4 linked regions of the Saccharomyces cerevisiae S288C genome follow. The protein of the gene in region 1 interacts with the protein of each later gene in a biochemical or structural test. Each region holds a gene or a part of one and is shown in the gene's direction. Other genes may lie near its edges.

Region 1 (9,565 bases):
TGATTTCCTGATACTTCATCTCTCAGTCTCATTGCTTTAGTACCAAAAAATCTGTTTCTAAATTTCTCTTCATTATTGGATATAATTATACTGATTGTAGATTTACTGTCGGTTAGTAATCCTTTGGTAATTGGTTTCTTGTCGAGTTCTTGTATCAGGTAACTTAGATTATTTAATAATGGGACAGATTCACTTATTGCGTGTATTTCTGCTTCCGTAGTTGAAGTACATGTTAATGAAGCCTTGGTGGACTTTCCTCCAATTACTTTTCCATTAAGTAAATATATGTTGCCAATTTGTGATTTATAATACGGTTGGTTACCATACGAGGCATCGCTTATAACAACTAATTTATTTGTTGGCTTAACAGGTTTGCTTTTGTGCCATATTAATTGCTTATCTCTCGTATTCCATATGAACTGTATCAATTCATATGTCATATCTAACACTTGCTTGGACGGAAATAGTATATGTTGTGCAAGTGTGTTGATGTAGTATAATAGGTCAAATCTAAATTTATATCCAACATATGATGCTAGACCTATCAGCTTTTGCATTTCATGTACCTTCATTTTGTAATCATCTTCTTCTAGCTCTAGTTCTTGCTGGTTTATATAGAGACCTGGTTGGCCTGGGGCACCAAGTTTTCTTCCGTTTGGATTCAAAGGTACGTTTAATTTGGGTATTTTCTCAGTTAATGAGTTTTCCATACCTAATTTCATGTATTTACCTCTTTGATATTTGATTTCTAAGCCAAGGATGTCGTATTGAATTTCATCATCGCTTTCACCTAGATTTATAATCTTGGTATCGTATTGCATCTTGAGTTTTGCTATAATTCTTTTATTCGAATTTAAGTCCTTGCTGAACAATATCATATCATCAACGAATAAGCAAATTGTTACTTGACTATTCTTAAATACGCATGACCATCCACGAACTTCTTCCATACCACACTGTTTTATCAGGTATGATTTGATAGTTTCGTACCAGTTCGCTCCACTTTGTTTCAATCCATAAAGTGATTTCTTCAAACGTATCAACTTATCATTCATTCCTAAATGTGGTGGAGGTCTTATGTATAATTCTTCTTTGATGTCTGCATACAAATATGCCGAAGATATGTCTAATTGTGTAATATAGTAGTTATTGTCTAATGCAAGTGACAGGGATGTCATTAATGCATAGTGATGTACGGTATTGGATTGCATGCCTGAGTCGTAAGTGTCAGGATGCTGAATATCACCTCTTGCAACAAATCTAGCTTTATGAGTACCGTCACGTTTCCTGTTGAAGATAAACATTGAATTTATTACTCTTTTAGGGTCTATTTCTTTTCTGTCATAATATTTGTCAGTGTCCCAAGTATTCATTTTCAATAGTTGGTTGACTTCTTTGTGGTATGCTTCGATATATTTTTCCTTTTCTTTAATATCTTTATTATAGGTGATTGCCTCATCGTATCTTAAGGTTGTCCGTATTGGTTTGATTGATTTTACTGCTTTTACAGCTGCAATCAGGTGAATTCGTTTCTTCGATCTCGGAGGTTCTAAACTACGCATATTCTTAGTATTCCATGTGTCTCGTGATACCTTAATTTCAGTTTCATTATCTTCTAATGATCTTTTCTTACTGTTGATAGTAGTATAGGCATTAGAGTCACCAATACCACCCAAACTGGAATTAGTTTGACGAGAATTGATCGGTGGAAGTTCTTTAAAGGAGTCTGATAATTCGGTAGGAGGTTCTGGAGGCAGATCGGGAAGTGGAAGATCAGCAATTATAGATTCCTCTGTATTCTCCTTAGGACAGGTATCTGACGTTTTGATAGGAACGACGTGGTGTAGTGAATTACTTTCTGATGAGGAAGTATCGATCGAAGGTGAACGGTGTATAATCCTTTTCTCAGTCTCCTGTTCGCTTGTCTGCGGAACAGTTTTATTATTGGTACCACCCGTACTGGATATTGGTACGTTTGTATGATTAGTCTCATTGTCACTGTACGAGTCTGAGTGTCTGAAATCTTTAGATTTACTGGCGTACGACGACTCATGTGTGTTAGATTGGGACATGGGAGCAAGTAAAGGAACATTTAATTTATGCATACCACCCGAACCGGTACTCTCGATATTGGAAATTTGGGGGGTGCTAGATCTCTTCTTTGATGGAAGAATATTAGATTCAGATATGTTGGGGTCAACTTCTCTGGGTGCGCGAATATTGGTTTTAGAAACACGTTTCGAATCTTCAGTATGAGTTGACGGAGGTGTGGAATCGGTTGGACTCACAGCTTTTGAAAGGACATTTCTCGGTTGCTCAGGATGTAGTTCAATGTCGGATTGGAAGTCATGGTCAGATTCTATGTTAAGATCATTGGATTCTTGGATCTCATTTGACGCAATGAACGAATGATATGAAGCAGTTAAACGGTTTAAGTCTTCATCGAAAGTGAGTGCGTCGTAATTGAATTGATCTAATCTGGATTCCTTGCCCTGAAGAATAACATAGTTAGTTGTATCTACTGTCTTCTTTAAGGATGGAAGATAGATGATATATCCATAAGAGTTTCGAGACGGATGTAGAGCGTAGCCTGGGATGCCACGAGGATGTATTTTGGAGTTAGGGTTGTGATCATTGACGATAACAGGTTGACCGAAAGGTAACAAAGTACTGATATCAAGTCCTGCCAAGCCAGCATGTTGTCTTGCAGATTTTTTGCTTTTAGGTGAAGCTAGTGAATTTCTCACAATAGTAGAAAATTCGATTGCAGAGAACCATAAATGGTTCGGTAAACCACTACATTGCAGTTGAGTACGGCAGTCATCTAATAAGGTACGGTTCAGCCGTTCAGCGACTCCATGTGCTCGGGAATCCGCTGTGGTTGTATAGCATGGAGTTATACCATTTTTTTCAAGGAATTTATGGAGAGTTCTGTTAGTATACTCAGAACCACGGTCCATTTGTATAACTAAGACACTGGCCTGAAACTGGTTTTTAATAAAAGCTAGTATCGTAGTAAAAACATCGAGGATAGAGTCCTCGCGACGGTCGTGTAATGGATAAACCCAACGGAATTTTGTTGTCTCATCAGTAAATGAGATGAAATAGGATGGTGCACTTTTTGGTAGGTTGTGAACTGGACCAAATATGTCAGTATGTAGGTATTGAAAGGGTTCGTATGAATTTTGGTATTTTAGTCGTGAACCTTTGATATGTCTGTGTTTGGTGCTTTTGCCGATTAAACAATCAGGACATTGATAGTCAATAGCACTAGACCAGTCGACATCTGATTCGTTAAAATACGTGATGGTGTTATTTTTAAGTGAGTATCGAATTGTCTGTGCATTGGCATGCGCAAGCATTCGATGAATGAAAGGATAAGGATATTTGCGTGTACTTTCACTTGTATGGACATTATTGATGGTGGGTACGGAGATATTTGATGGAAGCAAGTACTTTTTAGATACCCAGTAAAAGTCTCCATATTTCACGATAGGTGCAAGTACAGTGCCGTCAGACCGTTCTAAGACGTTTTTGGTAAAGCATGCTGTGATATCTACTGCAGCCAATTCATTCAAACTGAGTAAGTCATAGGCTATGTTAGGAGTGTGCAATACCTTTATTGATGTTTTGGTGTTGTCCTGGAAGTGAAATTGTAGGTCACCAATAGCGTTAATTGGTATATTTCTTTTTTGAGCATCAACTACGTTTATGTCAGGATTAGATGATGCTGAGTGTATGTGATGAGCAGATCTTATAAGGGTTCGTGATGCTCCTGAATCGAGAAGGAGGTGTCCAGGGAGTTCATCATCAGAATGATTAGTATGATTTACTGTAGATTCAGTAAGTTTCTGGCCTAAGATGAAGGTCGTGCTTATTGTTCAATTGAATCGGTTCAGTAGTTGATTTACTGATGGAATCGTTGTCCGTGCTGGGAGAGTTATTAGATGTGGATACATTGTGAGCCCTGGCTGTTTTCGATTTCGAATTATTTGTTTTTTGAGGATTCCGAGCTATAACTTTGGGTTTGGTTGTATTCGTATAGCTGCGAGAATCATTCTTCTCATCACTCGGATTTCTCCTGTAATTAGGTTTGCTGTTTCTCGATCCCTGTTGTTCTTCATAAATAGCATGGATATCTAAGAACAGTTCAGCGACTGTCATATTTAGATGTCGATGACGTGTGTAGCGTAAAAATTTATATTCGCCAGATAGACCTCTCATAATTAATTGGCATGCGACCTTGTTATTGATATGAATGCCATTATTGTTCAGTCTGTCGATAATGTTTGTGACTTTTGTTTCAAATGCATCTGCAGGTGTACTGCCATTATATTGCAAATTTGCCAGGGTCACAATGTCGTTTGCCTCTTGGGTATCAGATTGCATTTTTTCAATACTTTTGGAAAGAATTTTCATGATATCCGTATAATCAACGGATAGGATGTCTTTGACCCAGGTAGGTAGGAATTGAGAGGGAGCAAATATTTGAAAAGTGTTATACAAGAAGGTGAGTTCATCATCAGTGATCTGACGTACGGGTTTTCCGTTTACTGTCGGAATAATACCACCGAGATTCGAGTTTTGTAAAAATTTGATGTATGTTTTAACCCAATTTGGAAAGTCATTAGGTGAGGTTAACATTGGTGGTGGTCTGACATATTTTTTAGTGGATGTCATATCAGAGTCCGCTGAGGATGAATCAGTAAATGTATTACCTGACTCAGGTGATGGAGTGCTCAGAGGCGTTCCAACTGATGATGGATACTGCGGAAACTGTGATTGTGGCCCAGGTGGAAAGTACATAGGCGACATTTGATAAGGTGTATACGGAATCATAGATGGGTGTCCGTAAAATGACCAACCAGATGGATTGGCTTGGTTTTGGGTCATCATGCACTGCTGTGGGTACGGCCCATTCTGTGGAGGTGGTACTGAAGCAGGTTGAGGAGAGGCATGATGGGGGTTCTCTGGAACAGCTGATGAAGCAGGTGTTGTTGTCTGTTGAGAGTTAGCCTTAGTGGAAGCCTTATCATATTCTTGAATTTTGGAAGCTGAAACGTCTAACGGATCTTGATTTGTGTGGACTTCCTTAGAAGTAACCGAAGCACAGGCGCTACCATGAGATATATGTGGGTAATTAGATAATTGTTGGGATTCCATTGTTGATAAAGGCTATAATATTAGGTATACAGAATATACTAGAAGTTCTCCTCGAGGATATAGGAATCCTCAAAATGGAATCTATATTTCTACATACTAATATTACGATTATTCCTCATTCCGTTTTATATGTTTCATTATCCTATTACATTATCAATCCTTGCACTTCAGCTTCCTCTAACTTCGATGACAGCTTCTCATAACTTATGTCATCATCTTAACACCGTATATGATAATATATTGATAATATAACTATTAGTTGATAGACGATAGTGGATTTTTATTCCAACAAAATCCACATTCTCTTCATATATACATATATTGGTTGTTGTTACTACTTTAGCTTTTTTCCTCTGTTCGTTTCAAGATCTAGCTTGCAATTATCCCTCTAGGTAATAACCAGCATAGTTGTCGTCGTTTCATGTGACCTATTCCCCTTTAATTGGATCAATCTTCCAATAAGAGTGGTTTCGTGGTCTAGTCGGTTATGGCATCTGCTTAACACGCAGAACGTCCCCAGTTCGATCCTGGGCGAAATCATTTTTTGAAGATTACATTAATAAGGCTTTTTTCAATATCTCTGGAACAACAGTTTTTTTTTACTTACTAATAGCTTTAAGGACCCTCTTGGACATCATGATGGCAGACTTCCATCGTAATGGGATGATCATATGATGGGCGCTATCCTCATCGCGACTCGATAACGACGTGAGAAACGATTTTTTTTTTCTTTTTCACCGTATTTTTGTGCGTCCTTTTTCAATTATAGCTTTTTTTTTATTTTTTTTTTTTCTCGTACTGTTTCACTGACAAAAGTTTTTTTTTCAAGAAAAATTTTCGATGCCGCGTTCTCTGTGTGCAACGGATGGATGGTAGATGGAATTTCAATATGTTGCTTGAAATTTTACCAATCTTGATATTGTGATAATTTACTTAATTATGATTCTTCCTCTTCCCTTCAATTTCTTAAAGCTTCTTACTTTACTCCTTCTTGCTCATAAATAAGCAAGGTAAGAGGACAACTGTAATTACCTATTACAATAATGACAGACGAAACTGCTCACCCGACACAATCTGCTTCAAAGCAGGAATCTGCTGCTCTGAAACAGACAGGCGATGACCAGCAGGAATCTCAGCAACAACGTGGCTACACCAACTACAACAATGGTAGCAACTATACCCAAAAGAAGCCTTACAACAGCAACAGACCTCATCAGCAAAGAGGTGGTAAATTTGGACCAAACAGATATAACAACCGTGGCAACTATAATGGTGGCGGTAGTTTCAGAGGTGGACACATGGGAGCCAACAGCTCAAACGTGCCATGGACTGGTTACTATAATAACTACCCCGTTTACTACCAGCCCCAGCAAATGGCGGCCGCTGGTAGTGCCCCTGCTAATCCAATTCCTGTCGAAGAGAAGTCACCTGTTCCAACTAAGATAGAAATCACTACCAAGTCTGGTGAACACTTAGATTTGAAAGAACAGCATAAAGCCAAGCTACAGTCTCAGGAAAGATCTACTGTGTCTCCGCAACCAGAGTCAAAGTTAAAAGAAACTTCTGATTCTACTTCTACTTCTACTCCAACTCCTACCCCTTCCACTAATGACTCTAAGGCCAGTTCTGAAGAAAATATATCTGAAGCTGAAAAGACAAGAAGAAATTTCATCGAGCAAGTTAAACTTCGTAAAGCTGCTTTAGAAAAGAAGAGAAAGGAGCAACTTGAAGGTTCTAGTGGCAACAATAATATTCCAATGAAGACTACCCCAGAAAATGTGGAAGAGAAGGGATCGGACAAACCTGAGGTAACCGAAAAAACCAAGCCTGCTGAAGAAAAATCTGCTGAGCCAGAAGTTAAGCAAGAAACTCCAGCTGAAGAAGGTGAACAAGGAGAAAAGGGCCAAATAAAGGAAGAATCCACTCCAAAGGTGTTAACCTTTGCTGAACGTTTGAAGTTGAAGAAACAACAAAAAGAACGAGAAGAAAAAACGGAGGGGAAGGAAAACAAGGAAGTGCCAGTACAGGAAGAGACTAAGAGCGCCATCGAGTCTGCTCCTGTGCCTCCCAGTGAACAGGTTAAAGAAGAAACTGAGGTCGCCGAAACCGAACAGTCAAACATTGATGAATCTGCAACAACTCCGGCTATCCCTACTAAATCTGATGAAGCTGAAGCTGAAGTTGAGGCTGAAGCAGGTGATGCTGGAACAAAGATTGGACTTGAAGCTGAAATCGAAACTACAACTGATGAAACTGATGATGGTACAAACACCGTTTCTCACATATTGAATGTATTGAAAGATGCTACACCAATTGAAGATGTCTTTTCTTTTAACTATCCAGAAGGTATTGAAGGTCCTGATATCAAATACAAGAAAGAACACGTCAAATATACATATGGCCCAACTTTCTTGCTTCAATTTAAGGACAAACTAAACGTCAAAGCGGACGCCGAATGGGTCCAAAGCACTGCTTCTAAAATTGTCATTCCACCAGGAATGGGCAGAGGAAATAGATCTAGAGATTCTGGCAGATTCGGCAATAATTCTAGTCGTGGCCATGACTTTAGAAATACCTCAGTGAGAAATATGGATGACAGAGCTAATTCAAGAACTTCATCAAAGAGAAGATCAAAGAGAATGAATGACGACAGGAGATCTAATAGATCTTATACATCAAGAAGAGACCGCGAGAGAGGCTCCTACAGAAATGAAGAGAAAAGAGAGGACGATAAACCAAAGGAAGAAGTTGCTCCACTTGTTCCAAGTGCTAATAGGTGGGTGCCAAAATTCAAGTCTAAAAAGACTGAAAAGAAGCTAGCCCCTGACGGAAAGACCGAACTATTGGACAAGGATGAAGTTGAAAGAAAGATGAAGTCACTACTGAATAAACTTACTTTGGAAATGTTCGATGCTATTTCATCTGAAATTTTGGCTATTGCAAACATATCAGTATGGGAAACAAATGGTGAAACGTTAAAGGCTGTGATAGAACAGATTTTCTTAAAGGCCTGTGACGAACCCCATTGGTCTTCTATGTACGCGCAATTATGTGGTAAAGTAGTTAAAGAATTAAACCCAGATATAACAGATGAAACTAATGAAGGTAAGACAGGTCCAAAATTGGTTTTGCATTACTTGGTTGCTAGATGTCATGCCGAATTTGACAAGGGTTGGACCGATAAATTACCCACAAACGAAGATGGTACTCCATTAGAACCTGAGATGATGTCAGAAGAGTACTATGCAGCTGCTTCTGCTAAGAGAAGAGGTTTAGGTTTGGTTCGTTTCATCGGTTTCCTATACCGTCTGAATCTGTTGACTGGAAAGATGATGTTCGAATGTTTCCGTAGACTAATGAAGGATTTGACGGATTCTCCATCTGAAGAAACTCTAGAGTCCGTTGTTGAATTGTTAAATACTGTTGGTGAACAATTTGAGACCGATAGTTTCAGAACGGGTCAAGCAACATTGGAGGGTTCGCAATTGCTCGATAGTTTGTTCGGTATTTTAGACAATATTATTCAAACTGCTAAGATTTCTAGTAGAATCAAGTTCAAGTTGATCGACATTAAAGAATTAAGGCACGACAAGAACTGGAACAGTGATAAGAAGGACAACGGTCCTAAGACCATTCAACAGATTCATGAGGAAGAGGAGAGACAACGTCAATTGAAGAATAATTCAAGATCTAATTCAAGACGTACGAACAACTCCAGTAATAGACACTCTTTCAGAAGGGACGCTCCTCCTGCATCAAAAGATAGCTTTATCACAACCAGAACATATTCTCAAAGAAATAGCCAAAGGGCTCCTCCTCCAAAGGAAGAACCAGCTGCACCAACTTCTACCGCAACAAATATGTTCAGTGCATTAATGGGAGAAAGTGATGACGAAGAGTAACATGAATAGATCATGTTAAGTATCGAAAATGTCACTTGGATACAAGGATGTTGGTAGAAAGTCTAATAAAATAATAAATTAATAGTACAACACAAATTTAATCTTACGTTTAATCCTGCGCTATTAATTGAAAATATATGCATGGAGAAGAAAAAAAAAGTGTCCCTAATTTACCATTGTTATATTTTCTCGATTAATGGGCTCATTTCTTTTCACTAAAAGCTATAAACAAGTTTGATGCATTTTAATGGGTAATCCTCTTACTGTGCTTTTTTTTCCTATCTTGTTCTATATGTCAATGCCTTTCTGTATTTTTATTTATAGCTTCGCCAGTCTTCGTTTACGATATGTTTTATATAATAGACCACTCAGCATATGTATAGTTTTGTATATTTATATCATTTATTAGCTGACGGCTTTAACTTCATATTTCGATTTAATCATGCTACTGCTTCACCATTTGTCCTTTTTTTTACAGAGGCCACGAAAGGAAAGGACCG
Region 2 (7,951 bases), on another chromosome or scaffold:
ACTTCTCAATCAACTTTACAAAGTGATATGAACATTCCCCGCATGGATAGAGTTCTGCATACAACCCAATAAACGTGTGCAGTTTCTCTCTTTCTTCAGGAGTAGGCTCGTCCGGAAAACGGGCCAGCAGGGTATGGAAGTACTTCCACGACGCCCTGCCCACTTCCTTCTTCACCTTGTCATCGCCCATCAATGGCATAATGGTTTGCTTCTCGATCTCTTTCAACCGAGCGTCGTTCTTCTCAGCAGCCGCCCCTTGCACTTCATCTATACCAGACTTCGCCTTGATTAGGCCCGGCGTAGCGATGGATAGTTCATTAGACGAGAAAAACATCCACAGGCCTATGATTCCTAATGCTGCAACTATTCTGATGGCATGGCTTCTTTTGACTATCTGTTTCATCCCTTCGTTCCTTGCACAATCTGTCCAGACTTTCCTCTTTACAAATCACCAGCCTTCCCGTCTTCTTGTCTTCATCACCCACGTTTATTGTTTAATGATAAAGCCTTTTGTCCTTTATTTTTGGTTCCTTTTCCCGCTTCGTTTACCCGGTGGTTAACCTTTCTCTTCCATCTTGTAATATATAATAACAAAATGCATCACCATACTTACGCACCCCATATACATGACCTAAGGGCAGCTTTAGACACAACAGCTCCCCAGAAAAAATGTCCAAAAGAAACACTCCACCGCTCAGATCATCAGGGATAAACACTATTCAAATAAATGCTGCTAGAGAAATGCACGCTCAAACGGTGCGCGCTCGAAGAATGCCCATGCCAACTAGCGGCATCACTACACCCTCTGTGCAACCAACTGCAGCCCCAGCAACACCACCTCGACATATTTGCAATAACCCAAACAATCCGCAGTGTCTCCACTGTGGGTCTGTTATCATTCCATCTCCAAGGGCCACGTTACCCTTGGAGGACAACCCCTCCATCTCCATCAACGACTGGACCATCTCCTCCAGAAAGAAGCCCATTTTGAACTCGCAGGAATTAGACATCTGGGAAAACGAAAAACTCAAAGGTTTGACTTTGCCAGAGATGATTTTTGGTAACAACTACATCAGGATCGAAAATTCAAAACAGCATTGGTCCATAGAGTTCAATGCCCTGGATGCTTTAAAGGAGGTTCAACTCCAGGATTCAGGTATTCGTGTTGCGTACTCAAACGACTGGATAAATTCTAAAAAAAGACAAAATTCAACTAATGGTGCGCAACGGTTCACTAACGATGTGAACGACGATTCCTTAAATATCATACACAAGTACGACTGGACCTACACTACGCGGTATAAGGGCACAGAGAGCTCACCTGAGTCGAAATTCCGACTGGATAACGATCAAAAGCTGCCCCTTGACAAACTGGCCGTACACGATAAAATCCTATTCTATGACGACATGATTCTTTTCGAAGACGAATTGGCAGACAATGGCATATCAATCCTTAACGTCAAAATAAGAGTTATGAACGAAAGGTTACTGCTGCTGAGCCGGTTCTTTTTAAGGGTGGACGATGTTCTGGTGAGGGTCTACGACACCAGGATTTACGTGGAGTTTGACGAAAACGTAGTGATCAGAGAATCCAAGGAATTTGAAGGTAAATATCAGGATGTACTTGCTAAGCACCGGCTATCCCAATCTCACGACCCAAAAGCTGCCTTGAGAGATAGTAATTGGGTAGCACAGAACACGCCGATGATCAAAAGACAATGTGAAATAATTCAGTTCTAACAATCAAATATACAAAACAATACGTACAAATACATACACGTCACATATACATAAGCTCCGGATACATCATACAAGAAATGATCTTAAAATCATGCTCTTACCCGTTCTGTAAATAGTGAAAAATTTTCATCGCGAAGTATGAACGAAAAAAAAAAAAGAAAATAGATGAACTTTTAGCATTTAATTAGTGGCAAACGCCTACCCCTCCTTCCCACTTTGCTGACTTACAAAGACACCACTACATTAAAGAGTATCTCGTGTGTTCTTCTTTTTTTTCCAAAAAAAAAAACTCCTATTATTTGCATAAACACACGTTCACTGGTACAAGATGTCTATTAATATTTGTAGAGATAATCATGATCCATTTTACCGTTACAAAATGCCTCCCATCCAAGCCAAGGTGGAAGGTAGAGGTAACGGTATCAAGACTGCCGTTTTGAACGTCGCTGACATCTCTCACGCGCTAAATAGACCTGCTCCATATATTGTCAAGTATTTTGGTTTCGAATTAGGTGCTCAAACTTCCATCTCTGTTGACAAAGATCGTTATTTAGTTAATGGTGTTCACGAACCTGCCAAATTGCAAGACGTATTGGATGGCTTTATTAACAAGTTTGTTCTCTGTGGAAGCTGTAAAAATCCAGAAACGGAGATCATCATTACCAAAGATAATGATTTGGTTCGAGACTGTAAAGCCTGTGGTAAGAGAACTCCAATGGACTTGAGACATAAACTATCATCCTTCATTTTGAAAAACCCACCTGACTCCGTTTCTGGTTCCAAGAAGAAGAAGAAAGCAGCTACCGCTTCGGCCAATGTTCGTGGTGGTGGGTTGTCCATTAGTGATATTGCTCAAGGTAAGTCTCAGAATGCACCTTCAGATGGCACCGGCTCATCCACTCCACAACATCATGACGAAGACGAAGATGAATTATCTCGTCAAATCAAGGCGGCTGCCTCTACCTTAGAAGATATCGAGGTCAAAGATGACGAATGGGCGGTTGATATGTCTGAAGAAGCCATTAGAGCTCGTGCCAAGGAACTAGAAGTGAACTCTGAGCTCACTCAACTGGATGAATATGGTGAATGGATTTTGGAGCAGGCTGGTGAAGATAAGGAGAACTTACCATCAGATGTGGAGCTTTATAAGAAGGCTGCAGAACTAGACGTCTTGAATGATCCAAAAATTGGTTGTGTCTTGGCGCAATGTCTATTCGATGAGGATATCGTAAACGAAATCGCTGAACATAATGCATTTTTCACTAAAATTTTAGTCACTCCAGAATACGAAAAGAACTTTATGGGTGGTATTGAAAGATTTTTAGGTTTAGAACATAAGGATCTAATCCCACTATTACCAAAAATTTTGGTACAACTATACAATAATGATATCATCTCGGAAGAAGAAATCATGAGATTTGGTACCAAATCATCCAAGAAATTTGTACCTAAGGAGGTATCCAAAAAGGTTCGTAGGGCTGCTAAGCCATTCATTACGTGGTTAGAAACCGCTGAAAGTGACGATGATGAAGAAGACGACGAATAGCTTAGGAGGGGGCAAAAGACTTATGTGTAAATTATTATATGACATGGCGTAAGATAAGGATTATGTTCTGTTGTTTTTGAGCTCGTTGATGTATAGATATGTAAATATTTATAAATATAATATTTCTTCCAAGTGCGACATACTTGGTACTGGCAAAAAACAAAGATGAGACTTTTAAAGCCACTGATTGATTGATTAATTATTAAGTAAAAAAAAAAAAATAAAATGTCGGTGTAATTTGGCTCCACGATCGCATGCGTATACATAACATGAGATTACCGAAGATTTTTCTGAAAGGTAATGCATTATATTATAATCATTAATAGAAGTAGAGCCTAAAGCCTGTTGAAAACTTGTACAATAGAGGAAAAAAAAAGGGTCATTAATCGTCATGTTTACCTAAGAGCGTCTAAACTTTTTGGTATTCTTCTGGGGTAAACGTAAAAACATTGCACCAAGGGCAAAATTGAAAAAAAAAAAAGTTTAATAGAACAGAATGATTAAAATCATTAGCTAATATCCGTATGACCTGTAGCGGTACAAACTTGTATCATTATTATTATTATTATTACTATTATTACTATTATTATTATTATTATTATTATTATTATTATTATTATTATTGTTATTGTTATTATTATTGTTATCATTATCATTATTGTTGTAGTTATTGGTATTATTATTGTTATTATGACTCACTGAGCGGCTTAGAGGATTCATTTGACTCGAATAACCAGAATTATTATAATTGTTATTATTATTACTTACATTTGGTAAGTTAACTATAGGTAGGGATAAATTTGTTCCATTAGCAATTCTAAATGAATCAAATTGTGAATTCAATTCATCTAATCCGTTAGAATTACCGTTCTGATTTTGATTTTGATTTCCGGAGTACACCACTTGTTGATTGTTGAAGTAGGAATTTATTTCACTCATCGGGGCTGGGTTAAAGTTCAATGCTGGCGTTGGACCTGCATTGTTCATTTGTATAACGCTATTATGCCTTGAATTTGAACTTCTCACACTGGAAACAGAAACGCCTCTGGCGCGACCAGGAGAATGAAACCCCTGAGGATGCTGTTTACGATGATTCTTGGAGGATTGTTTGGGTGATATTCCTGCTGATGATAGCCCAACTTCCTCCAGTAACTGGCGACTTTGTAAATTGATATTGGAATTTAAAATCAGTTGACGAATCTTTGTTATAGCTTCATCTCTAACGCTATTGTCAAGAATTCTCGAGGTTAAAACCTTATAAATAAATGTTGGACCATAATTACCCTCATCTAGTATCTGGAACAAGATAGAATCACTAGAAATTGGACCATCAAATATTGCATGGATAATTTTATTCTTCGACAGTGCCTCTTCTTCACCACCTCTTAAATTGAGAATCTTTAAGACAGTAAGAGAGCCTAATTTATGACAACATAGTTTAACCAGATTTTTATTTACCAGTTTATCACATAAAATCAAGTTCTTGTTAGGTAAAGTGCAAGTATCCAATAGCCAAGTGATCAGTAAAGTGCCATTCGTATCCGTAGCTAGATAAGGAGAAAGCACAATTATCAGTGAAGTGATAGTCAGCAATTGGCATTGGGTAATAATGGAATCTGCTTCTAGACAAGCCCTTACAGCACGAGATCCATACCTGTTTTGAACTATTGTCCAAAAATGAGATAAAACGCTTTCAAAAATGAAACTATTCCAGGGAAAACCAAACTTTAAAATACCTTGAATAACATAATTTCCAAACTGGTCGTTGAAGAGTGGAGTACAGTAATCGCTTACACCTGAAGTTACAAGATTTATCTGCCTTGGCGTGTTTGCCATTTTGATGATCTTCTGACAAACCCAAGTACCGTTTTTGTGAACACCCATAGATGTGAGATATTTATTACACTTCCTCAACATAATATCCCTGATGATATTTGACGAGTTTTCAAACAATTTTTGAATAACGGTATTACCCAAATAGTCTGAACTTAATTCTGGTAATTGGTCCAGCATGACGATTGCCAATTGCTCCATTTCAATAGTAGATAATGAGTTCGAGTCAAACTGCTTTCTCAGTTCCCGCAATTTTGGTGCATCGAACGTATCCTTTCTCTTTGGAACTTTGGAGTTGTGCTCAGGCAGGGGACCAAAATAATTTGTATCAGACACTCCTTTATTTTTCAAGGCATTCTGCAAGAGATGATTCAACTCTAGATGATCATATTCTAACTTAAAAGAACTTATAGTGTGTAATATATCCTTTTTACTATCCGATAATGATGGTGGAGGCAACGGGAAAGGGTAAGGTTCATTTTCGTTTGAAGATAATTGCAGATGGCTCAAATTCTGAGTGGGATTACAATATGTAAGATTTGGTTGATTAAATGAAGTTGGTTGTTGTTGTAGCTCCGGCTGTTGTAGCGATTGTTGCAGCTGATAATTGAGCACCCCGTGATTCAACTGTTCTTGCAACAGCGGTTGCTTGGGAGTGTTGTTGAAGCCATTAACGTTAAGAGGTTGTTCATACATGGGTAAGACTCGCGCAAAAGATACCGTACTTGGTGCCCCTACTTTAGACAGTTCCTTACCTTGTAGAGCTTCCAAAGCACATATTGCACTTTCAACTGTGGAAAACTCTACTAATGCCATATTCAGGCCTCTTAGTGTCCTCGCAGAAAGCACTTTACCATACTGTGAACATAAAGTCGCTAAGGAAGTACTCGTCAAATTTACAGCGTTCTGTTGATGTTGTTGAGTAGGCTGTAATGGAAACACGTTTGAAATAGATATTGTGTTAGTGGGCAAAAGCGCCGATATTTGATTGACTAGTGGTACTTTTTGGTTTGCTGTAATCCAATTTATCGAGGCTGGATCGACGTCATCAAGGATAACAGGGGATATTGAAGTACTTTTTGGAACTCTAGGAGGCACTTGAACCTGGTAATTCTGTGCAGGCTGTTGATAGTAGGGCGCGTCAGTATAAACCCTGTTTGTGGTAGATTGAGATTGAGAGCGCTGCCTGTTAACTATCGGAGTATTAAGGTGGTCAGTGTTACTATTTCCTGCACTCGACCATATGTTTGGATTCCCATTTTTCTCCAGAAAACTGTTTAGTTGAGCTGTTTGAGGCAGCGTATAATTATCAGTGGACTTGAATCTAGTCAATGGCTCAAAATAAGAAGTGGCGAGAGGATAATCAAACAAAGGACTGGAAGAAGTATTACTTTCTGCATTAGCACTCCAAATATTTGCACTCGTGGCATTGCCCACATCAGTAGTCAAAGAAGAACTTGCAGTGATCTGAGAAGATACTGTGTTATTTCTTGTTCTTGTTCTGGTCGTAGTAGACTGTAATGACAGCGGAGTAGCCACCGTAAAAGAATCGCTAGACACTCTGGGAGCGTATGTCGTGGAATTTAAACTGTCTGGAGTACTGCTCGTAGGAGGCACAACAACTACAGGGGTACTCTTCTTTGAATGGTGTAGCTTAGCGCTAATCGAAGGGAGTAGATTGGTTAGAGTATCTGAAAACCTGCCCGCACGAGTACGATAGGAGCCAATTTTCTGTGGGGAAGTGGAGCTAGAACGACCTCTCTTGTCAGAGACTCTCACAGAACGAGCATTTGTATTCATGCGTGTATCATTTCTAATATCCTCTTCATAAATTGGAATTGTAATTCCAGGATCTATAACCTCAGGAATGTTGGATAGGTTACCGTTATACAGTCTTTTGTTGTCCATCAGAATTCAGAAAACAGTAGCAAGGGACAGCGATAGTAGATATATCTCTCTAACAATGAATATACACTTAAGCTAGTAACAAATAATTGAATGGTTAGTATAGAGGAAAGTAAGTTATGCCGTTGCTCTGTGCCATTCAGCAGTATATGCACCATCGCTTGCTCTTTCGAGGGGTGGTTTCATACTATTTCACAATTTTTTTACTTAGTTCTTTTTTGGAACAACAGCCGGGTTACCAAAAGATCTCAAACGAAACTAAGACTGTTCAAATTTTCAAAGAATCCGTACATTTAGAAATTTTTTTTTTTTCCGCAAGAAATATCCTTGCTTTTTTTCACTTTTGTTAACTTTTTCTAACGCAACGCACGAGGCGGCTCACTCAGTGTTATGTGAGATATTGGGCTATATGGGATGTTAGAGTTAGGTATCATATATAGTATTTGGCACGCCTTTTTTTAGTTCAGACAGTAGTAGCAAACAACAGGAAGACAACTGAGACAAAAATGTATGATATATTACGCACACGATTTACCGTTTGCTTGGAGGAGTAGTGTTTCGTGATGAAATAGACTGATATAGACAGAATTCCACAGACTTTTACGATATAAAGGGAAAAACATGAAGTTGAACACCATATCTCAAATGAATAGGATCACTGTAATTCGATAGGGTACAATTATGTGAAATGTCTGCTTTATGGGAACTTTCATTCATATACCTGAAGGTGGCAAACTAGTCTTACGAAACTGTTCAGTGCAGAGATAGAATTTTGTGGAGATGCATATAGGGAAACAAAGTGGAATTTATGCTTGTATAATCACCAATTCGAAACACTAAACCTCGACCTATTTAGAATTTCCTTCAAGATTTACTAACATATTTTGATATTTTTTCTTTTTTGAATACAGGGCTAAAAGAACTAAG
Region 3 (7,618 bases), on another chromosome or scaffold:
TAACGTAACTATTCCTAATTTAGGCTACCAATCTTCACCTGCTATGAATTACTTTAAACCTAGCATTAAGTTGATTCATTTCATTGGGAAACACAAGCCATGGTCATTGTGGTCCCAAAAGAATTTCATTAAAAACGAGTATCATGATCAATGGAATGAGGTATACGAGGAATTTAAGGAAGAACATCAATTAAATAACGAAGTTTCGAAGCCAAAGATTAGTGATTCCGATAAAACTGAGACTCCTGAAACGATAACCCCAGTGGATGCCCCTCCATCGAACGAACCCACTACGAATCAAGAGATCGACACAATTAGTACAGTGGAAGAAAACGTGGACAACCAGAACGCCGAGCCTGTTCCTAACTCGGATCATAGCCCTGCTCCTAACCCTGTCCCATTGGATTTTACCAAGTGGTTAACAACCTTTATTAACAAAGATCACTTGACTAATCAGCCAGTAAATGAAAGCAGAGAATATTCGAAAGAGAATGATAACAATATAATCAATAGCAGTTCAAACCGCGACCAAGAAAGTCCTCCAAATAGTACTCAGGAACTAAACAGCTCTTATAGCGTTGTGAGTACTCAAGCTGATAGCGATGAGCACCAAAATGCAGAAGAGGAGGATAGTACGACAGATAACGCTTCAAATTCTGGAGAAGAAAGCCACCTCGATGATATAAGCACGGCCGCTTCTTCCAATAACAATGTAAGTAATCAACCAGATGGCAAAAATTTTAGCAATTCTAAAGAAAATAATATCAGTGTCGAATCTAGCCCTTCAAATCCAGAACAGAAAAGGTCAACTGACAATATACAAAAACCAAGTGTTTCTACTAATGACTTACCAGACGACGTAGAACCACATACCTCTGTTGATGACAATATACAGTACTTAGAAAAAGACAAGGAAGGTTATGAAGAATTTCTTCCGGACGTGTACGAGTCAAATGCAATCGATAACGAAGAAGAATTTTTTGATGACGATGCAAGAGATGCTACCGAAGGAGAAACGAAGACGAGTGCAGTTGCAGATAAACAGGAGGATATGAAACTTACAGCAGAGGAAACCAACCAACCGCAACAAGAAATGCCCAACTTCAAATTTGACTGGGAGGACTCTGATTATCTATCCAAAGTAGAGAGGTGTTTCCCTGATGATATTTTTGAGTATGCAGTAGAGTAAACTTCCACGCACATATTAGGAAAATTAAAAGACATATCTATGTAAAGACCTTTTCGACTATACAAAAATGCATAACTATTCTATATACATTCAAACTCGAAATTTACTTTAAAGGTTTATCAGCAACAACATCCGATGCTTGCTGTTTATCTTTTCTCACCTCACAACGTTTATAGTGACTGAAAAATTTTTGCATTCTCACCTCGTCTATTGAATGATGTGCTAAGAACTTGAGCTAACATCACAGAACAAAGGTATGAATATACGCAGCCCTGACATTTGTAGATTTTTTATTTGGTCTCTAGTCTTTTCTTTTCTTATTTTATAACAAATTCGTTAAACGGCCTCCTTCTAATTATATACAAGATGTCTGAAGGTATTACTGATATTGAAGAATCCCAAATTCAAACCAACTATGACAAGGTTGTCTACAAGTTCGATGATATGGAATTGGACGAAAACTTGTTAAGAGGTGTTTTCGGTTACGGTTTCGAAGAACCATCTGCCATTCAACAACGTGCCATCATGCCTATTATTGAAGGTCACGATGTCTTGGCTCAAGCTCAATCTGGTACTGGTAAGACCGGTACCTTTTCCATTGCTGCTTTGCAAAGAATTGACACCTCTGTCAAGGCTCCTCAAGCTTTGATGTTGGCTCCAACTAGAGAATTGGCTTTGCAAATCCAAAAGGTTGTCATGGCTTTGGCTTTCCACATGGACATCAAGGTCCACGCTTGTATCGGTGGTACTTCCTTTGTTGAAGACGCTGAAGGTTTGAGAGATGCTCAAATCGTCGTTGGTACTCCAGGTCGTGTTTTTGACAACATCCAAAGACGTAGATTCAGAACTGACAAGATCAAGATGTTCATCTTAGATGAAGCTGATGAAATGTTGTCTTCTGGTTTCAAGGAACAAATCTACCAAATTTTCACCTTACTTCCACCAACCACTCAAGTTGTTCTATTGTCCGCCACCATGCCAAATGACGTCTTGGAAGTTACCACCAAATTTATGAGAAACCCAGTTAGAATTTTGGTTAAGAAGGATGAATTGACTTTGGAAGGTATCAAACAATTCTACGTTAATGTTGAAGAAGAAGAATACAAATACGAGTGTTTGACCGATTTATACGACTCTATCTCCGTTACTCAAGCTGTCATCTTCTGTAACACCAGAAGAAAGGTCGAAGAATTGACCACTAAGTTAAGAAACGACAAATTTACCGTTTCTGCCATCTACTCTGATTTACCACAACAAGAAAGAGACACCATCATGAAGGAATTCAGAAGTGGTTCTTCCAGAATTTTGATCTCCACTGATTTGTTGGCTAGAGGTATCGATGTCCAACAAGTTTCTTTGGTTATTAACTACGACTTACCAGCTAACAAAGAAAACTATATTCACAGAATCGGTAGAGGTGGTCGTTTCGGTAGAAAGGGTGTTGCCATCAACTTTGTTACTAACGAAGACGTTGGCGCTATGAGAGAACTAGAAAAGTTCTACTCCACTCAAATTGAAGAATTGCCATCCGACATCGCTACTTTGTTGAACTAAGGGAGACAAAAACTTCTTAAAAAAGTATCTTGTGAGGCTATCTTGATAACGTAACATATATTTCTAAAAAGTTATATATGCTTTTTGTATTTAATTTGTTTTTCTTTTTACATTCCTATTATTCTTCAAAGTCCAAAAGACTCTCGGCACGAAGGTTGAAATACCCTATACTAATTGTTTGCTTTGTCTTTTTGTATATATCCGAACGTATCTATCTGAAATTTTTCAAATTTATAAAAAATAATATATATAAAAGGAAAAAAAAAAAAATCGATGCCCTACTAATAGAGATTGGAGCTGAAAAGAAAAAGTGTACATCAAACGCTATATCTCGAGGTTTGGGATGGTTGAGTCAAATGATATTATAAAAAGTGGGCTGGCAGAGAAAGCACTAAAGGCTCTAATTTTACAATGTGAAGAGAACCCATCTTTAAAAAATGATAAGGACATACACATAATCATCAACACGGGCAAAAAAATGGGCATAAACAGGGACAACATCCCCCGTATTATTCCATTAACAAAGTACAAGCTATTTAAACCAAGGGACCTAAACATATTACTCATTACCAAGGATCCCTCTGCCTTGTATAGAGAAACTTTGACGAAAGACGAGCATACGTCGGAATTATTCAAGGAAATTATAAGTGTCAAGAACTTGAGACGTAGATTCAAAGGGAGTAAACTGACCCAACTTTATAAAGATTTTGACTTGGTCGTTGCCGATTACAGAGTTCACCACTTACTTCCGGAGGTTCTTGGTAGCAGATTTTATCACGGTAGTAAAAAATTGCCATACATGATCCGCATGTCGAAAGAAGTAAAATTGAAGCGTCAACAAATGGTCGAAAAATGTGACCCCATTTACGTGAGAGCACAATTGAGAAGTATATGTAAGAATACCTCATACATTCCCAATAATGACAACTGCTTAAGCGTCAGGGTCGGTTATATTCAAAAACACTCCATACCAGAAATTTTGCAAAACATCCAAGATACAATAAACTTTCTCACTGATAAAAGTAAGAGACCGCAAGGCGGCGTCATTAAAGGAGGAATAATATCTATATTTGTCAAGACCAGTAACAGTACTAGTTTGCCTATATATCAGTTTTCAGAGGCTAGAGAAAATCAGAAAAATGAAGATCTGAGTGATATTAAATTGTAAAATTAAAGCATCATCTTTTAAATACGGTATTTAAACACTCCCAATGAAAAAGCGTGATTTTGTCTAACTAATTATAGCATTAATAAAGTGTTTTAAACTTTAATTCCTTTCAAGAATTTGCAAGATTATAGAAATTTAGTAAGCGAAAAAAAAAAAGAAAAAAAAAAGAACAGACACCCTATAAAAATAGAATAAACATAATAAGCCACCATTTGCCTGTCTGATGATATTCTTGATTCTTTATATCTCTTCAGGTATGTGACACCTATACATGCAACGCTTTTTTTGCGTTTTTTCTATACAATAGTTGTTTATTTAAAAGCGTAGGAGCTTCATGCAAATCTGCAAGGTATTTCTTACACAGGTTAAAAAACTACTTTTTGTTAGTCTTCTATTTTGCTTGATAGCTCAAACATGTTGGCTTGCACTTGTACCATATCAGAGACAGCTGAGCCTAGATTCGTATTTTTTTAGAAGATCTCGAGAAGTTTCATCGAGATATGATTTTACAAGGAGGCGACATATGAATCAGACGCTGAAGCTATCTAGCAACACTTATAATGATGAACCACTAAACAAGACCAAGGGAATAAAAAATCAAAGAGAAAATGCTACATTGTTAATGCTTGTGCGTAATTGGGAACTTTCGGGGGCACTCCGTTCCATGAGATCACTAGAAGACCGTTTCAATAAAAACTACCAGTATGACTGGACATTTCTTAATGATGTCCCATTTGATCAAGAGTTCATCGAAGCCACCACAGCCATGGCTAGTGGTAGAACGCAATACGCTTTAATCCCTGCGGAGGACTGGAACAGGCCATCTTGGATCAACGAAACTCTATTTGAAGAGGCTTTACAATTAATGGAGGAAAAAAATATCTTGTACGGTGGGTCAAAGTCATATAGAAATATGTGCCGATTTAATTCTGGATTTTTCTTTAGACAAAAGATATTAGATCCGTACGATTTTTATTTCAGAGTTGAGCCAGATGTAGAGTATTTTTGCGATTTTCCCTACGATCCATTCAAGGTGATGAGGCAGAACAATAAGAAATATGGCTTTGTGATAACTATGTATGAATACGAAGATACAATTCCGAGCCTATGGGAAGCTGTAGAAGAATATCTCGAAGAAACAGAGTCAGCAGATATTGACATGGAAAGCAACGCTTTCGGGTTCGTATCAAATTTCGACTTCATCGGTAAATCTTTTGGTGTCATCGATAGTAACAGCGGCTATAATTTATGTCATTTTTGGACAAATTTTGAAATTGGCGATTTGAACTTTTTCAGAAGTGAGAAATACATTAGATTTTTCGAGTACTTGGATTCAAAGGGCGGTTTTTACTATGAAAGGTGGGGAGATGCACCAGTTCATTCGATTGCTGCCTCACTTCTTTTGAAAAAAGACGAAATCATCCATTTTGATGAATTAGGCTATAAGCATATGCCTTTTGGCACGTGTCCATCTGCATACTACCTGAGACTTCAACAAAGATGTCTTTGTGATAGCAATCACCCAGACAATATTGATCTCAATGTCATCAGCTGCCTGAGAAGATGGTGGAAGGACGGCAGCGGTAAATACTTCCTCAAACACGATTCATAGCGAGAAAAGCGTGTATCCGCATACTATAAATACGTATATATAACAAAGTAACCATCAAGAAAGATGTTCCATACCTCAGGTCATCACCATTTCATGGGTCGCTTAACCGAAAATATCAGAAGCAACCTCTAACGGCGATGGTTTTAAAGATGGATTACCTCAGCACCAACAGTTACACTATTCGGAACCGAAGATTTATCTACGATACTCATTATCCTTTCTCTATCTCACCCTGAAATAATTTATTAAAAATAAACTATGCCAAAGAAGAGAAAAGAGAAAAATTTAAAAAAAACGAGAGCCATTGCAACAGTTTTGGAAGTAAGAATAGGTTGAAAATTAGTCAAAAAGACAAATCCGGCTCCTATAAACCATCAAACAATAGGCTCCCTAAAGCATCACAAATTGTTATGCTTTCTTTTAAGAGAAATGTTTTTTAAAGCATCAAAGGTCCAGGGCAAGAAAAATTCTTTCTGGTAGCAAATGCTATAGTTCACGGCTTTTATAGTCAAAATGTTATATGCGAGAAGAAAAAGAAAAGCGCGAGCTTACTTCGGGTAAGAAGTTCACTTACGAATCAGGGCAAAAGAGCTAATAAGAAGTGAACTAGTTACATAACCGTGTGCTCTGTAGAACACGAGAAAGCTGTTACACAGAACTGTTTTATACCAAGTAGTTCGTTCGATTTGGAAAAGAGAGTAGTCTTTTGCGATGAGTAAAAACAGGGACCCTCTACTGGCTAATTTGAACGCTTTCAAAAGCAAAGTGAAGTCTGCCCCGGTGATCGCACCCGCTAAAGTTGGACAGAAGAAGACCAATGACACAGTGATTACTATAGATGGAAACACTAGGAAGAGGACGGCCTCCGAACGTGCGCAAGAAAACACTTTGAACTCTGCGAAAAATCCTGTGTTAGTGGATATCAAGAAAGAAGCTGGGAGCAATAGCTCTAATGCTATTTCATTAGATGACGACGATGACGACGAAGATTTTGGTAGCTCTCCTTCAAAAAAAGTAAGGCCTGGCTCTATTGCTGCAGCCGCTTTACAAGCAAATCAAACAGATATTTCCAAGAGTCACGATTCTTCAAAGTTGCTTTGGGCGACTGAATACATTCAAAAGAAAGGTAAGCCCGTTTTGGTGAATGAGTTATTGGACTACTTGTCAATGAAAAAAGATGACAAGGTTATTGAGCTTTTAAAAAAATTAGATAGAATAGAGTTTGACCCCAAGAAGGGGACTTTCAAATACCTTTCCACCTACGATGTCCATTCCCCTTCGGAACTGCTGAAGTTGTTACGTTCACAAGTAACATTCAAAGGTATTTCCTGCAAAGACTTGAAAGACGGTTGGCCACAATGCGATGAAACGATTAACCAACTGGAGGAAGACAGCAAAATTTTGGTGTTAAGAACTAAAAAGGATAAAACTCCAAGATACGTTTGGTATAACAGCGGTGGTAACTTGAAATGTATTGACGAGGAGTTTGTTAAAATGTGGGAAAATGTGCAATTACCGCAATTTGCAGAATTGCCAAGAAAGCTGCAAGATTTAGGTCTAAAGCCTGCTAGTGTCGATCCTGCTACTATCAAAAGACAAACAAAGAGAGTTGAAGTTAAAAAGAAGAGACAAAGAAAGGGTAAGATTACTAACACTCATATGACCGGTATCTTGAAAGATTATTCCCATAGAGTATGAGGTTGTTTTGATTAAATCATTTTCGTTTGCATATTAGGTTAAAGAGACTGTGATTATATATACATGCACGTTAGGGTGCAGCATACAACTCAGCTTTATAGTCTACAACGTATTTATAACGAGCATTGGAAACAGGTTACAGGACACCAAAGGGTTTGGGTTTCCAATTTTGAACCCTTGACCAATTTTTTACTGGTGTAGCTCTGTTCTCCTCTTGTTTATTTTTTTTACCTACTGTTCCGAAACTGCTCATTCTCTGTTTCAAAGACGCCAAATCGCCTAGTATATCATTGGTATCAGCCTTTAATGCCGGACTCACTTCCTTCTTCAATGGAACGGAATCTTTTTCCGCAGGAATAAAATCATACAGCTTTATTTCACCTTCATTAAACCTTAA
Region 4 (8,228 bases), on another chromosome or scaffold:
AATGTCCTTATTCTGGAACTTGGATTTATGGCTCTTTTGGTTTAATTTCGCCTGATTCTTGATCTCCTTTAGCTTCTCGACGTGGGCCTTTTTCTTGCCATATGGATCCGCTGCACGGTCCTGTTCCCTAGCATGTACGTGAGCGTATTTCCTTTTAAACCACGACGCTTTGTCTTCATTCAACGTTTCCCATTGTTTTTTTCTACTATTGCTTTGCTGTGGGAAAAACTTATCGAAAGATGACGACTTTTTCTTAATTCTCGTTTTAAGAGCTTGGTGAGCGCTAGGAGTCACTGCCAGGTATCGTTTGAACACGGCATTAGTCAGGGAAGTCATAACACAGTCCTTTCCCGCAATTTTCTTTTTCTATTACTCTTGGCCTCCTCTAGTACACTCTATATTTTTTTATGCCTCGGTAATGATTTTCATTTTTTTTTTTCCACCTAGCGGATGACTCTTTTTTTTTCTTAGCGATTGGCATTATCACATAATGAATTATACATTATATAAAGTAATGTGATTTCTTCGAAGAATATACTAAAAAATGAGCAGGCAAGATAAACGAAGGCAAAGATGACAGAGCAGAAAGCCCTAGTAAAGCGTATTACAAATGAAACCAAGATTCAGATTGCGATCTCTTTAAAGGGTGGTCCCCTAGCGATAGAGCACTCGATCTTCCCAGAAAAAGAGGCAGAAGCAGTAGCAGAACAGGCCACACAATCGCAAGTGATTAACGTCCACACAGGTATAGGGTTTCTGGACCATATGATACATGCTCTGGCCAAGCATTCCGGCTGGTCGCTAATCGTTGAGTGCATTGGTGACTTACACATAGACGACCATCACACCACTGAAGACTGCGGGATTGCTCTCGGTCAAGCTTTTAAAGAGGCCCTAGGGGCCGTGCGTGGAGTAAAAAGGTTTGGATCAGGATTTGCGCCTTTGGATGAGGCACTTTCCAGAGCGGTGGTAGATCTTTCGAACAGGCCGTACGCAGTTGTCGAACTTGGTTTGCAAAGGGAGAAAGTAGGAGATCTCTCTTGCGAGATGATCCCGCATTTTCTTGAAAGCTTTGCAGAGGCTAGCAGAATTACCCTCCACGTTGATTGTCTGCGAGGCAAGAATGATCATCACCGTAGTGAGAGTGCGTTCAAGGCTCTTGCGGTTGCCATAAGAGAAGCCACCTCGCCCAATGGTACCAACGATGTTCCCTCCACCAAAGGTGTTCTTATGTAGTGACACCGATTATTTAAAGCTGCAGCATACGATATATATACATGTGTATATATGTATACCTATGAATGTCAGTAAGTATGTATACGAACAGTATGATACTGAAGATGACAAGGTAATGCATCATTCTATACGTGTCATTCTGAACGAGGCGCGCTTTCCTTTTTTCTTTTTGCTTTTTCTTTTTTTTTCTCTTGAACTCGAGAAAAAAAATATAAAAGAGATGGAGGAACGGGAAAAAGTTAGTTGTGGTGATAGGTGGCAAGTGGTATTCCGTAAGAACAACAAGAAAAGCATTTCATATTATGGCTGAACTGAGCGAACAAGTGCAAAATTTAAGCATCAACGACAACAACGAGAATGGTTATGTTCCTCCTCACTTAAGAGGAAAACCAAGAAGTGCCAGAAATAACAGTAGCAACTACAATAACAACAACGGCGGCTACAACGGTGGCCGTGGCGGTGGCAGCTTCTTTAGCAACAACCGTCGTGGTGGTTACGGCAACGGTGGTTTCTTCGGTGGAAACAACGGTGGCAGCAGATCTAACGGCCGTTCTGGTGGTAGATGGATCGATGGCAAACATGTCCCAGCTCCAAGAAACGAAAAGGCCGAGATCGCCATATTTGGTGTCCCCGAGGATCCAAATTTCCAATCTTCTGGTATTAACTTCGATAACTACGATGATATTCCAGTGGACGCCTCTGGTAAGGATGTTCCTGAACCAATCACAGAATTTACCTCACCTCCATTGGACGGATTGTTATTGGAAAACATCAAATTGGCCCGTTTCACCAAGCCAACACCTGTGCAAAAATACTCCGTCCCTATCGTTGCCAACGGCAGAGATTTGATGGCCTGTGCGCAGACCGGTTCTGGTAAGACTGGTGGGTTTTTATTCCCAGTGTTGTCCGAATCATTTAAGACTGGACCATCTCCTCAACCAGAGTCTCAAGGCTCCTTTTACCAAAGAAAGGCCTACCCAACTGCTGTCATTATGGCTCCAACTAGAGAGTTGGCCACCCAAATTTTCGATGAAGCCAAGAAATTTACTTATAGATCCTGGGTCAAGGCCTGCGTCGTCTACGGTGGTTCTCCAATTGGTAACCAACTAAGAGAAATTGAACGTGGTTGCGATCTTTTAGTCGCTACTCCAGGTCGTTTGAATGACTTGTTGGAACGTGGTAAAATTTCTTTGGCCAACGTCAAGTATTTGGTTCTAGATGAAGCTGATAGAATGTTGGATATGGGTTTCGAACCTCAAATTAGACATATTGTCGAAGACTGTGATATGACTCCTGTTGGTGAAAGACAAACTCTGATGTTCTCAGCTACTTTTCCCGCTGATATCCAACATTTGGCCCGTGATTTCTTAAGTGACTACATCTTTTTGTCTGTTGGTAGAGTCGGTTCTACTTCAGAAAACATTACTCAAAAAGTCTTATACGTTGAAAATCAAGATAAGAAGTCAGCCTTATTGGATCTATTGTCTGCATCCACTGACGGTTTGACTTTGATCTTTGTCGAAACTAAGAGAATGGCAGATCAATTGACCGATTTCCTGATCATGCAAAACTTTAGAGCTACCGCCATTCATGGTGACCGTACCCAATCTGAGAGAGAACGTGCCTTGGCCGCCTTCAGATCTGGTGCCGCTACTTTATTGGTTGCCACAGCTGTCGCAGCTAGAGGTCTAGATATTCCAAACGTCACCCACGTTATCAACTACGATTTACCAAGTGATGTCGATGATTACGTCCATAGAATTGGTAGAACTGGTCGTGCCGGTAACACCGGTCTTGCCACTGCCTTTTTCAACAGTGAAAACAGTAACATTGTTAAAGGTTTGCATGAAATTTTGACTGAAGCTAACCAAGAAGTCCCATCATTCTTGAAGGACGCTATGATGAGTGCTCCAGGTAGCAGAAGCAACAGCCGTAGAGGCGGTTTCGGTCGCAACAACAACAGAGATTACCGTAAGGCCGGAGGCGCTAGCGCAGGCGGCTGGGGCTCTTCAAGAAGCAGAGATAACTCTTTCAGAGGCGGTAGTGGCTGGGGTAGCGATTCCAAGTCTTCTGGCTGGGGTAACAGCGGTGGTTCAAACAACTCTTCTTGGTGGTGATTTCAGACAAACTAGGGTGAGGATTCTTCGTTTTCTGCTCTAGCATGTCTTATATTTTCTTTCTCCAATCACTTTTTTTATCCAAGTCCTGAAAATACTGTGTTGTTTGTTTCTCTCTAGCCGTTGATTGGCCCCATATTTTTTTTATTTTCTCACTGGGAGCCACTAATCTGTTACTTTTTTTCCACTCTTATTTTTTATCCATCGTTTTTTTGTTTTTTTTTTCTTTCATGGTTCTAATATTATTTTACAATTGTACTATAAAATGCCTTTGCTAATATTAACTAAAAAACTAAAGATTTCACTATGATTATAAGCAATTAAGATTTTCATCTTTTAGTGAAAAGATGAAGGAATTATTATCTACTTTTACTATATTTTCCACTATTTTTGCTTAATTGCTTTAACCGATCTATTCATTGGACTGATTATTTACATTATCTTTTATTTCCACTTCCACTTTTTCAGTTTTCTTCGAATAGAGACTTTATTTTGAACAGTTTTTTCGACCTTTTTTGTTTGTTATTGTTTCTTTTTACCTTACGAAAATATTCTTACTGTTCACAGTACCATTGTATAATAGTATTCATTTCCTTCCTACATTTTCTCTCCCTTTTTTGAGTTGAGGCCTTTTTATTGACTCGCCTTATACTCTACTTTATTTGTGTTTTGTAGATAGAATAAACATCAACAGTATAATTCATAATACTTTCTATTGCTTATTTCCTGTATATTCGTTTTTGAATATACTTTGTTCCCAACTTTCTTTTTAGTTTACTTACATTCATATTTACATGTGCGTTACTACTTATTGGTGCAACCAAGTGAACAGCGAGTCTTACCATTGGTAGTACCAATAGGGATTCTTTTTTTTTTCTAGGTGTTGAACCAAATCATAAGGATCATCGTCGACAAATCTTCTAGCAGATAAATCTTTCTCGGTTTTTTCTAAATACGACTTCTTCACTGCGTTCAAAGTATCAGCTTCATCCGGGGCCATCTCATACAGGGAACTGATGATCGGTCTATCTCTGGGACAGCTTGACTCTTTACCATTTGTTTCAATGTAACGCTGGTAGCCAGACTCAATCAAGTTTTCTAGCGGTTCCCTTATACCTACTTGGATACCCCTAGGTATCCATATCTCATGTAGTCCTTTGAACTCATACCTCCCAGTTGTCCTTAATAAAATATATCCTATATCTTTCAGAACGATCTCTATACTTCCAATAAATGGAGGTATTGCGTACCTTTTGTACTGGCTTTTTTCGCATATAACGCTTTTAATTCCACAATACCGTGATAACGGATGTGTGCCAGATGATGAATTGCACGAGTTGAATACATCAATACCTTTTTCAATGTTCTTGAATGTTTTTGATGGTCCTGGTATGTATTTCACAATCTGATTTATGGATCCTTTCGGAGGTACCAGGTAGAAAATCCCTCCCACGGTATAACAGCCTCCCTGTGATGTGCCCTTCATAGACTCATAAGTCTTCTGTTTTATATGCTTCCGATTGAATAAATCGGTTTTTCGCAGCCTTTGAAGCCAACGCTCGTCGATTAGTTCTTCTAGGCGTAATCTGGAGGTGGAAGTTGAATAGCCTGGAAGATCAAAAAGTATTTTACCTCCAACTTGGTAGGCTTGTACGGATCTAGTTAAATTGGGAATATGTGATACACCAGCAGCTTGAATCTTGAAAAAATTCTTCGGGTTCGTAAAAGCTTCTTGCATCACTTCTTCAGAGGGGGAGTTAATTTTCCCAGTAGAATCAATTTTAACCTTATATCCAAGATATTTCTGTAGTAGAGTATTGATCAAAGTTGATTTACCAACATTAGGGTTGCCTAGCAAATATGTGTAGTTTTTAAAGTAGTTGTAAAACATGGATATGTTCCAGTTTTTCAGCGCAGATATGGCGAATGTTTTATTTGAGTCAATTCTTAAAGTGTTCTTTAAAAATTGCTTCATGAATATAGGAACCTTTTTGCTGACAGCATTTTTATCTTTAAAAACTTGATCGCTTTTCGTTAACACTAATGTAGTATCTAAATCATTTCGTTTCAAAACATTGGGGTCTAAATGTAAGGGAAATTCTACAAAGGGGACAATATGCATAACATTTGAGCCTCTGGGGACGTAGTTCAGAATATCATTTAATGTGCTTTCGGGAAACTCTTCCGGGTTATAATTGTTATGATGAAGGGCATTACTGCACCTTTTGCAAATCACTCTCAATAGTAAATCTCTTTTGGTTTTGAGGTCAGGATCATTTTGAGTTGCCTGTTTCGAGAGCTGTATGTCTTGACTGAATAGCAAATACTTCAGATCTTGGAGGTCAGGATTTAGTTTTGAGTCGGGTAGACTTTTTGGCTTCGTATAATATCCTGGTTTACTAGGATCCTGATCCTGTAGTTTTATGGAACATGACGCACATTTCACTTTCACAATCACAGAACAGGAAAACTGACGTACGCCTCGAAGAGCATGACACAGATTCAACATTCCCGCATATTGAATTGTTCAAAGTAATTAGACGTGTTACTAGGAAGGTCCTTCGTTAATATTGCTCTGTTAAATGTATCTTGACCCATAACATCAAATAGTAGTTATCATCTTCGACGAGTTTTGAAAAATTTTCTGAATTTTTTCTTCCGATGAGATGAGCATGATATTTACAGAGAAAATAGAGAAACAGAATACTTGTACATGGGTAAATTCATTTATACTAATTTTTGAATTGTAAGAGAGATAGAGAAGGTCAACAATAGAATAAGTGGAGATGGGTAAAGTTTCTAAATCGACCAAGAAGTTTCAATCGAAGCATTTGAAGCATACTCTAGACCAAAGAAGAAAGGAAAAGATCCAAAAGAAGAGAATCCAAGGCCGTCGTGGCAACAAAACTGATCAGGAAAAGGCCGATGCTGCTGGTACTAGGGAACAACAGCAGTTGAAAAAATCTGCAAAGGAAGAGGTTTTTAAGGACATGTCTGTCGAAACTTTTTTTGAAAAGGGCATCGAAATTCCAAAAGAGAATAAAAAATTGAAGAAAAAAACTACGAAAGAGCAATCTGATGAAGATTCCTCCTCTTCCGAAGAGGAGGAAGACATGGGACAAAGCATGGCAAAGTTGGCCGAAAAGGATCCCGAATTTTATAAGTATTTGGAGGAAAATGATAAAGATTTATTGGACTTCGCAGGTACCAATCCATTGGATGGAATTGATAGTCAAGATGAAGGTGAAGATGCTGAAAGAAACAGTAATATTGAAGAAAAATCTGAACAAATGGAGCTGGAAAAGGAAAAAATTGAGCTTTCTTTGAAATTGGTTAGGAAATGGAAAAAACAACTTCATGATTCTCCAAGCTTAAAATTACTAAGGAACATAATCAGTGCTTTCAAGGTTGCTGTAAATTTGAACAAGGAAGAAAACATCGAAGACTATAAATATGCTATCACTGATGAGAAAGCATTCCACGAATTGATGTTCATGGTCTTGAAAGATGTACCACAAGCGATTCAAAAGATGGCCCCATACAAGATTGTAAAAGGCGCAAGGACCTTACCAAATGGAGGTAACGTCTCCAGGGTCTCGTCCATTGTCAAGTCGCATGCTGGCTCTTTGTTGATTTTATTGAATGATATTACTAATACGGAAACAGCAGCATTAGTTCTTCATTCTGTCAACGAATTGATGCCTTATCTTTTATCATACAGAAGGATCTTAAAGGAGCTTATTAAATCAATTGTTGGAGTATGGTCTACAACGAGAGAATTAGAAACCCAGATTGCTTCTTTTGCCTTTTTGATCAATACCACCAAAGAGTTCAAGAAGTCTATGCTAGAAACAACCTTAAAAACAACGTACTCCACTTTTATCAAAAGTTGTCGTAAAACGAATATGCGTTCTATGCCACTGATTAATTTTCAAAAAAATTCGGCAGCTGAATTGTTCGGTATCGATGAAGTTCTAGGTTACCAAGTTGGATTTGAGTATATTAGGCAATTGGCAATTCATTTAAGAAATACAATGAACGCGACAACTAAAAAATCCAGTAAAATTAATTCCGCAGAAGCTTACAAGATTGTATACAACTGGCAATTCTGTCACTCCTTGGATTTCTGGTCTCGTGTACTATCGTTTGCTTGTCAACCAGAAAAGGAAAATGGCAGTGAATCTCCTTTACGACAATTAATTTACCCATTGGTTCAGGTTACTTTGGGTGTAATCAGATTAATCCCAACACCACAATTCTTCCCATTAAGATTTTATTTGATTAAATCACTTATTAGACTTTCTCAAAATAGTGGTGTTTTTATTCCAATATATCCTTTACTTTCTGAAATTTTAACCTCAACGGCTTTCACTAAGGCACCCAAAAAGAGCCCTAACTTGGCTGCTTTCGATTTTGAGCACAACATCAAATGTACGCAAGCTTATCTGAATACAAAAATATACCAAGAGGGTTTGTCAGAACAGTTTGTGGACTTATTGGGCGATTATTTTGCTCTGTACTGTAAAAACATTGCATTTCCTGAACTTGTAACACCGGTTATTATCTCTTTACGCCGTTACATCAAGACTTCAACTAATGTCAAACTTAACAAACGTTTATCAACTGTTGTAGAAAAATTGAACCAAAACAGCACATTCATCCAAGAAAAGAGATCAGATGTTGAATTTGGGCCAACAAACAAATCTGAAGTTTCAAGATTTTTGAATGATGTAGCTTGGAATAAAACACCTTTAGGTTCTTATGTTGCAGTACAACGTGAAGTTAAGGAAGAAAAGGCCAGATTAATGAGAGAAAGTATGGAAGAACAAGACAAAGAAAGAGAAACAGAAGAAGCAAAATTATTAAACAGTCTGG

Evidence for each region.
Region 2: the proteins of TIF4631 (region 1) and TIF5 form a complex in vitro, tested with the Saccharomyces cerevisiae proteins (2 studies listed by BioGRID).
Region 3: the proteins of TIF4631 (region 1) and TIF1 form a complex in vitro, tested with the Saccharomyces cerevisiae proteins (6 studies listed by BioGRID, with this or other methods).
Region 4: the proteins of TIF4631 (region 1) and DED1 form a complex in vitro, tested with the Saccharomyces cerevisiae proteins (4 studies listed by BioGRID).

What each region holds. Positions count from the first base shown.
Region 1 is NC_001139.9:817,853-827,417, forward strand, and holds TIF4631 (translation initiation factor eIF4G), read left to right. Parts: upstream 1-6,206; coding exon 6,207-9,065; downstream 9,066-9,565. Other genes in the region: YGR161C-C (gag protein), read right to left, coding at 3,841-5,163. UniProt on the Saccharomyces cerevisiae protein: Component of the eIF4F complex, which interacts with the mRNA cap structure and serves as an initial point of assembly for the translation apparatus.
Region 2 is NC_001148.4:646,636-654,586, forward strand, and holds TIF5 (translation initiation factor eIF5), read left to right. Parts: upstream 1-2,068; coding exon 2,069-3,286; downstream 3,287-7,951. Other genes in the region: ERV2 (flavin-linked sulfhydryl oxidase), read right to left, coding at 1-403; IRC16 (Irc16p), read left to right, coding at 201-560; TIP41 (Tip41p), read left to right, coding at 670-1,740; PUF2 (Puf2p), read right to left, coding at 3,800-7,027; 60S ribosomal protein eL43 RPL43A, read left to right, coding at 7,531-7,532, 7,936-7,951. UniProt on the Saccharomyces cerevisiae protein: Catalyzes the hydrolysis of GTP bound to the 40S ribosomal initiation complex (40S.mRNA.Met-tRNA[F].eIF-2.GTP) with the subsequent joining of a 60S ribosomal subunit resulting in the release of eIF-2 and the guanine nucleotide.
Region 3 is NC_001143.9:553,432-561,049, forward strand, and holds TIF1 (translation initiation factor eIF4A), read left to right. Parts: upstream 1-1,555; coding exon 1,556-2,743; downstream 2,744-7,618. Other genes in the region: glycogenin glucosyltransferase GLG1, read left to right, coding at 1-1,189; UTP30 (Utp30p), read left to right, coding at 3,087-3,911; mannosyltransferase KTR2, read left to right, coding at 4,246-5,523; transcription factor TFIIE subunit TFA2, read left to right, coding at 6,235-7,221; rRNA-processing protein LAS1, read right to left, coding at 7,358-7,618.
Region 4 is NC_001147.6:721,373-729,600, forward strand, and holds DED1 (DEAD-box ATP-dependent RNA helicase DED1), read left to right. Parts: upstream 1-1,538; coding exon 1,539-3,353; downstream 3,354-8,228. Other genes in the region: MRM1 (Mrm1p), read right to left, coding at 1-336; imidazoleglycerol-phosphate dehydratase HIS3, read left to right, coding at 574-1,236; GEP3 (Gep3p), read right to left, coding at 4,192-5,862; mRNA-binding ribosome synthesis protein NOC2, read left to right, coding at 6,140-8,228. UniProt on the Saccharomyces cerevisiae protein: ATP-binding RNA helicase involved in translation initiation. Remodels RNA in response to ADP and ATP concentrations by facilitating disruption, but also formation of RNA duplexes.